Arabidopsis thaliana: one gene and its partner. The protein of the gene in region 1 interacts with the protein of each later gene in a biochemical or structural test. Each region holds a gene or a part of one and is shown on either strand. Other genes may lie near its edges.

Region 1 (3,755 bases):
AACACAGAGTTATAATCAGCAACGAAGCCTAAATGAGTCCAAGATGTTTGCAATGTTGCTTCCGTGAGATCTACGCAAGAGACGGATAAAAGGCATGAGCTTCTGCACCAAACCCCAAAACAGATCCATCCTAGACATCTTGGTGAATCTCAGAGCCTTGACCACCACGAAATTCCCAAACTCATTCCTCGCCAGCCTCATCAACCTGTCTCCATCGCAACCCAAAAGCTCCACAACCACCACAACCATTGACTCCTCCACCTCCAAAAGCTTCTCCACGATGTAGCTTCCATACTTCTTAAACGATAGCTCAATGCACTGACCATAAAGATTAACGGCGATGTTGTGAATGCAACGCGAGTCATACAGTGTAAGCACATGTTGGACCACAAAGTTCCCTGAAGCATCGTTGCTTAGCCGGAGAGCGTTGGATGCGACCAATTCTAGTAGCTGATCTCTGTAGTAAGGATCGTCAGCGTCGGTTATGATATCATTGAGCGCGATGCAGCCGTGCTGGTCACACGCTAGGTCGAGAGCGTGGTAGAGAATGCGCTCGTACAATGCCTTTTTCATCACCTTGTCGAAAACGACCATGGCTCGTATCGTCACGTAGGATGCGTATTTGTCGGTCGTGATGTGGAGGAAGCGGCGCAAGATAGCGGCACAGAAGAAGGCGTCCACGTCATCTGATTTGCCGAGGAGCTTCTGCACGCGTCTCGAGCCGAACTTGGTTGTGACGATCGACATGAAGTAATCGGAGTCAGACGTAAGCAACGAGGCCATCCTCTGAAGCTCTGTTTTGTCTGAATTTGAGATCATCTCTTTAAAGTAAGACACACCATCGCCGTCAGTCATTAGGTTGAACAGAGCTGCGTGCAAGGGCGTGGCGGAGGCGCGTGGGGCGAATCCAGGAGGAGGAATGGAACCGGAGATTCCTTTAGGGTTTGGTAAAGCATTGAACATGGTCGACATTGAAAAGGGATTATCAGCGACTGCCATTGATAAATCTCTTGATGATCTACAGAAATTTCTCTAGAAAAGGGTTTAATCAGTTTGTGTGATTTGGGAGAAGTATGAGAGACTTGTGAATGAGAGATCTGTGGTGATGCGTAGAGTATTTATAGAAAAGTTAGGGCTTTTGTTTTTCTAGTTACAATTACACAACTCGGATTACTACTAGGAAAAGGAAAAGGAAACTTATTTGGTGGAGTTTCCTTTTTGTTTTGTCAATTTTCCTTTTTTCTTTGCATTTTCGTAACTGTCATGATTTTAATCTATCTTTTTTTGGTGTGTGAAGATAATAATAATCTATCTGAAACAAATGGAAATATGTAATTTGTTTTGTTGTAAATCGACAATAATTTAACATGTCGATAATCTCTAAAGTCTAAACCAACCCCTCGCAGTCCAAGCTTTTGATTTTGTCCACGTCACTAATCTCAGCATGCGTAAATTTATCTGGTCCTACTTGACACGTAGGTTAGTTCTGCCACGTCATCAAACTCCAAAATAATATCTTCTCTGACCTTTTTGTTCTACCACCTCCCAAAAAATCCCAGTCTTCTCTTCCTCTGATTCTCTATCAAGTTTTTTAAATTTTCTTTCTTTTTATTCTATTTTAGTAGCAATTTGGTTCTGTAAAGTTGTTGGTAAAAGAAAAATAGATACGAATCAAAACATTTTTGAATGATTAGGTGATTAAATGCTAAGCAAATCAGATTAAGCAAAAATCTGTTCTTTTTTGGTTGTAATTTGGTTTTTCAAGTCAGATATGGTGAGAGATTCTGGTGGTGGTGGTGTTCATCAATGGATTATGTGAAAAAGGTTTGCTTTTGTTTGTCTTGTCGCTTTTACAATCTGCTGCTGTTTGAATTTTGTGCTTATTTCATTAAGTATTATAGCTTAGAGCCTTAGAGTTTGATTTTGTATCTGGTTCTGTAGAGTTTATAAGAAATTTGAGAAAGTAGGAGATCTTTACAATCATCTAATGAATAAAAGAAACTGTGTTCAAAGTTTGTTAACTACTTACCAAGTACTGTGATAATTTTCCATTGGAACATTGATAGCTTTTGATTTTAGAAACAACAAGTTTCAGATTGTTTTCTAAAGCTGAGTGTGTGCTACTATTGAAATTTGATTTGGCTTGTTTAGTTTTTCTTTGGACAAGTTTGATGATTTATCCAAATTCAGTTTTTTATTTTTTGGTTCTGGTGTGAGACTGTGATCTTCTTACGGAATGTTGCTTTTTTTTTTGTTTCTCGTTTCTTATTGGGCTGAGGTTTTGGTGAAGGGATTAGAATAAGTTTGGGGAAAGAAGAAATGTGCAAGTGTTATGTCAGTGTAGAGGGGAAGTTTCTGCAGAATCTTAGCTGTTACTTGATGCTGCTTCTATTCTATCTTGTTCATGGAGGCTGGTCTTGACACTTTCATGAGATATTAGTATTCTAAAAATGTGTTTTAATAACATTGAAACTGGTGATGAAGTGGAAACCGAGAGGCAAGTGTTTGGTTCATCTGAAGAAGATGAATTTCGAGTTGAAGATACTGCTAGAAATACCAACAATGTACAGATTTCTCAACAACAGCAGCAACCGCTAGCTCATGTTGTGAAGTGGGAGAGGTATCTCCCAGTTAGATCGCTTAAGGTTCTTCTGGTGGAGAATGATGACTCAACACGCCATATTGTTACTGCCCTTTTAAAGAATTGCAGCTATGAAGGTTTTCTTATATTGAATTGATCATCCTTGTTTAGCAATCACATTTTTGCTTTTGACTAACAGTTGTAAATTTGGAAACTTTTTGTCAGTTACTGCTGTTCCGGATGTCCTTGAAGCCTGGAGAATTCTAGAAGATGAGAAAAGTTGCATTGATCTTGTCTTAACAGAGGTTGACATGCCTGTGCATTCAGGAACCGGTCTGCTGTCCAAGATTATGAGCCATAAGACACTTAAGAACATCCCCGTCATAAGTATTTACTCAAATCCTTGATTAAATTTTTGTTTATCCAGCTTCAATATGCCATGCTCAGTTTGTGTAACTCAAGATGTGATGTTTCTTTTTGTAGTGATGTCATCACATGATTCTATGGTTCTGGTCTTTAAGTGTTTGTCGAATGGTGCTGTTGATTTTCTCGTGAAACCCATTAGAAAGAACGAACTAAAGAATCTTTGGCAACATGTCTGGAGAAGATGTCACAGCGTAAGAGTTCTGATTTGGTTACCTGTTTTACAAAAGTTACTCTGTGTTTTTTTCTTACTTATGCGTTTATTGATTTACCAGTCTAGCGGAAGCGGAAGTGAGAGTGGAATACATGACAAGAAGTCGGTGAAACCTGAAAGCACCCAAGGGTCAGAAAATGATGCCAGCATCAGTGATGAACACAGGAATGAAAGTGGGAGTAGTGGTGGTTTGAGTAACCAAGATGGTGGGAGTGATAACGGGAGTGGAACTCAGGTAATCTGTTCTATGGCTATAGATAATAACAATGTCTGAATAAATCGGTTTATAAATTTTTGATTGGTTTTGCATTTATAAAAATATGTAGAGTTCTTGGACAAAAAGAGCCAGTGATACTAAGAGCACCTCGCCTTCAAATCAATTTCCCGATGCACCCAACAAGAAAGGAACCTATGAAAATGGATGTGCACATGTTAATAGACTGAAGGAGGCTGAAGATCAGAAGGAACAAATAGGTAAGAACGCAAATTAATTAGTCAATTAAAATGTGAGTACACTGATCTTGTGGAACAATTCCT
Region 2 (3,755 bases), on another chromosome or scaffold:
CATACCGAACGAGTATATATCAACCAATTCGTTATATGCTTCTTCGTAAACTTCAGGTGCCATGAACTCAGGAGTCCCTAACAAAAGATCAAAACTTTACACAATCAGAAACAAAGAAACTCAGCTAAAAAGCAGAAAGGATATGATTTGGATTTGCATATAGTACCGACGCAGTGAGCAGCATGGGACTTTCTTAAAATAGCAGCAAGGCCAAGATCTCCAATCTTGACCTCTCCTTGATTCCCGTTAACGAAAATGTTGTCACATTTGAGATCCCTGTGGATCACAGGAGGATCATGGCTGTGAAGATAATGTAAGCCTCTCAAGATTTGTCTGCACCAATGCTTCATAGCTCTTATGTTCACTCTCTTATGTCTGAGTCTATATCTGTATCCATAAATGAAGTTATCGTTAAAGATAAACTAAAACCAACGACAGAAAAGTATGTTTACAAGAGAATCTTACTGTCTTAAGGTGCCAGAAGTGAACAATTCAGTGACGAAATTGATATTTCGATTGGCGGTATCGACCCAAGAAGTGTAGAATTTCATGATGTTCTTATGTTTTAGAGTCTTGAGAAGATGAATCTCACAGTAAAGCCTCTCAAGATCCTCAGGGCTTTGTAGGAAATCATATAGCTTAACTTGGTTCCATGCTACTTCTATGCCTTCATATTCATCAAATGCTCTATAACTACAAAATCAAAAGAAAGAAAGAAGATTAATGTATGTATGAGCAAAGAAGTTTTTTTGTTTGCAGAATCTGAATTTGGTATAAGTCAAAGCAATAAAGAGATCCAAAAAAAGCAAAGTTGTTGGAAATTTCTCTTGTGGGGAATTAATGACCAAACTAGAAGTGATTCAATGAAGCAAAAAAAAACAAAAGCTCAACTTTTTTATTTCCTCTTTTAAAGGATTTGATTCAATCATGAATCCAAAACACACAAAAATCGTAAGGACAAATTTGTTGGATCACAAATGGGTTTTGACTGGGAAAACAAAAAGTTACAAACTTTATGAAGAAAGAACAACAGATTAGGCTTAAATCATCACCAGATCCAGAAGAAAAAAAAGCTGCAAACTTTGAGAGAAACATGAAGCAGAAAAAGAAGAGAAGAAGGGAGAGATTCTCACACAGTCTTTGAAGCTCCTTTACCAAGAACTTCATTGTACTGCAACAACAAGAACAATGAAGTCAACAAAAGATCAAACAAAATAATTGAGATTGATTGATTGATAGGAGGAAACATTACTCTTCCATATCTTCCAGTAGGATCAACTTCAACAAACTCAGAGTAATCTGGTTCAAGATAACTCAGATTGTTCATCTCTCTTTCAATCTCACAATTACGAACCAAATAAAAAAATCCCAAAAGGAAAAATAAGAATAGATCTACCAATACAAACGTCTCTCTTTTAATAAATGGGAGAGAGTTTAGGTTTCTTCTTATAGCAATTTCTGCATAATCATATTATTGTTTTTGTTCTTCTCTGACAAAAGGAGTTGAACAGGGCAATGAAACTCATGTAGTAGATAAGAACAGTATCTGTATAGACTCTCTCATTATTACATTCTAATAAATACTCAAACTCTATAGAGAGAGAGAGAAAAGGAGGATTTGAGCTTAGAAGACAGAGAAGCCAAGCTTTTCTCTCTTCAATAGTTCAATGGAAGTTTTTTTTTTTTGGTTGATGACAGAGAAATACAAGCACCTCGTGAGAGAAGACAAAGACGGTGTGCGTTTCTTTAGGGAACGGTGGTCCAAAAATGGGATATAAACTAAACAAATATCTATCCTTCATTTTTTTTCTTCTTCTTCTTATGGAACCTTTTTTTTGTTCCTTAAACCTTTTTACATACTTCTAAATAATTGCAACGGATTTTATTTTATACGGTATATATAATTAGTGTCCTCTATCGACAATTATTTATTGGAAATTATTCTGTGGTAGTATTAACAATTGTTCGGTGGAAAAGTAACTTGAATACTTGAAAATTATGATTGATTCATTTTAGTGATTATTCTATACAAATTCACAAGCTAGAGAAAACAAAAATGTTACTATTACTTTACCTTTCTTTTGTTTTGATTTTAGTTTTGTTTTGTTATACACAAAGATGATGCTTGCAAATAGTAATAATTCCATTAGCCGACGGAGTATTGTTGTGAAATAAATGTTGAACCTACCAAAATAATGAATCTCATCGAGATAACGTGCCGAAAAAAAATTCTCCCTACCGGCTAAACTGTGTGATATGATTAACAAATTACTACATTTAGAACCATATTCTGATAAAGGTTTAGTTTATGTCATTAAAAACTTCGACTGGTTTTCATTTCAATTAGAACAATCAACATTCAAAACAAATTATATATGAATATTGGGTTGCCTCGTGTGGATGTGATCGTGTCAGGTCTCAGCTATCTTAGAAAAGGAAATAGAAAGGTGCTCTCTCGTACGTATCTTTTGAGTGATGGGAATGATAGACTGTTCCATACGTTTATTCCATTGTGCGGATTGCATTTGTATTAGCGTATATGCCATCATCATTTCAACTATATAATTGATATTCTAGTATTTTGAAATGATCATCGTTCGTTTGAATAAATCAAAGGATATGATCATTGTTCTATGATTACGTTCATTGGTGGGGAATGGTATCATCCCCTAATGCACTACGAATTTGACCATATTTTAGGTAAAGTTACTTTTTTTTTTAGAAAGATTTTAGATATAAAGTTTTGAATATTGTTTGCTGACATGCTTTTTGTGTTGATTTTACATACTAAAATATTAGCTACAACATTTTTAATCTGAATTATAGTATCCGTCTTATATTTTGGTTTCATATACGCTATTGGAAAATTAATTTTTAGAAAAAGGTAAAAAAAAACTGGAACCAAAATTTTGATTAGACGACATTCATCTAAAAAGAAAATCATTATAACGAATCATTGCAATCGCTATAACATATACAACTACATCGTAACGACTAGTCTACTTCTTCTACCATCAAACAACAATGCTATATAACTAACTCATGTTTTCGTTTTTGTTACAAATAACTAACTAAATGTTACCAATAGAAGCTTGGAAATAAAAACACAAAATTTAAGAATTCTGAAATGGATTGGAGACAGCGAGACCATACATTAGCATGTCGACTAGATGTTCCAAAGGAGGCAACAAAGGTTAGTTTGGCCACGTGTTAAGTTAAAGTTGCTCGTGTTATCTATCTTGAGTCTTGACCATACATCATTTCATTTACACGACAATCCATCAACATAATTTACATATCGTACAGTGAACAGGAATCATGTGCAATATGACTAACTATAATCAAGTCTGATTTAATTCAGGGTATAAATATTTGATTTATCATAATATTTGGAAATAAACAGATTGATGGGGGCCAATCTTATATTAGAGAAAGAACACACATGTGCATGTGGGTGAATACAAAGACATGCACGATCAGCATAGCCTTTTAAACGAAAAAAAAAGAAGCAAATAAAGACTTGGTTGGTTGTGAATAATGAATCAGACCAACCACAAATCTTATCCATTTGGCCTTTTCCTCTCACACCATTTTACTTTACCATAAAGTTTTTTTGTTTGATAGATGTTAATTTTCTATTCTTATTTAATGTTAATGCAAGTAACTGTGAATATCATTTGTATTTTACACTAATTTTTTTTTAATACTAAACTAGGTAGAACGAGGTATCAAACCGAATTTGATAAACTATCATC

The links. The genes of interacting proteins can lie anywhere in the genome.
Region 2: of the proteins of PRR3 (region 1) and WNK1, one has a biochemical effect on the other in vitro, tested with the Arabidopsis thaliana proteins (2 studies listed by BioGRID, with this or other methods).

Annotation. Positions count from the first base shown.
Region 1 is NC_003076.8:24,199,198-24,202,952, reverse strand, and holds the start of PRR3 (pseudo-response regulator 3), read left to right. Parts: upstream 1-1,588; 5' UTR 1,589-1,824; exon of another isoform or gene 1,825-2,290; 5' UTR 2,291-2,450; coding exon 2,451-2,718; intron 2,719-2,806; coding exon 2,807-2,968; intron 2,969-3,064; coding exon 3,065-3,453; intron 3,454-3,544; coding exon 3,545-3,692; intron 3,693-3,755. Other genes in the region: PUM18 (pumilio 18), read right to left, coding at 16-999. UniProt on the Arabidopsis thaliana protein: Controls photoperiodic flowering response. Component of the circadian clock. Controls the degradation of APRR1/TOC1 by the SCF(ZTL) complex. Expression of several members of the ARR-like family is controlled by circadian rhythm.
Region 2 is NC_003074.8:1,352,656-1,356,410, reverse strand, and holds the start of WNK1 (with no lysine (K) kinase 1), read right to left. Parts: upstream 1,876-3,755; 5' UTR 1,328-1,875; coding exon 1,253-1,327; intron 1,172-1,252; coding exon 1,134-1,171; intron 694-1,133; coding exon 466-693; exon of another isoform or gene 388-465; coding exon 167-387; intron 78-166; coding exon 1-77. UniProt on the Arabidopsis thaliana protein: Regulates flowering time by modulating the photoperiod pathway. Phosphorylates APRR3.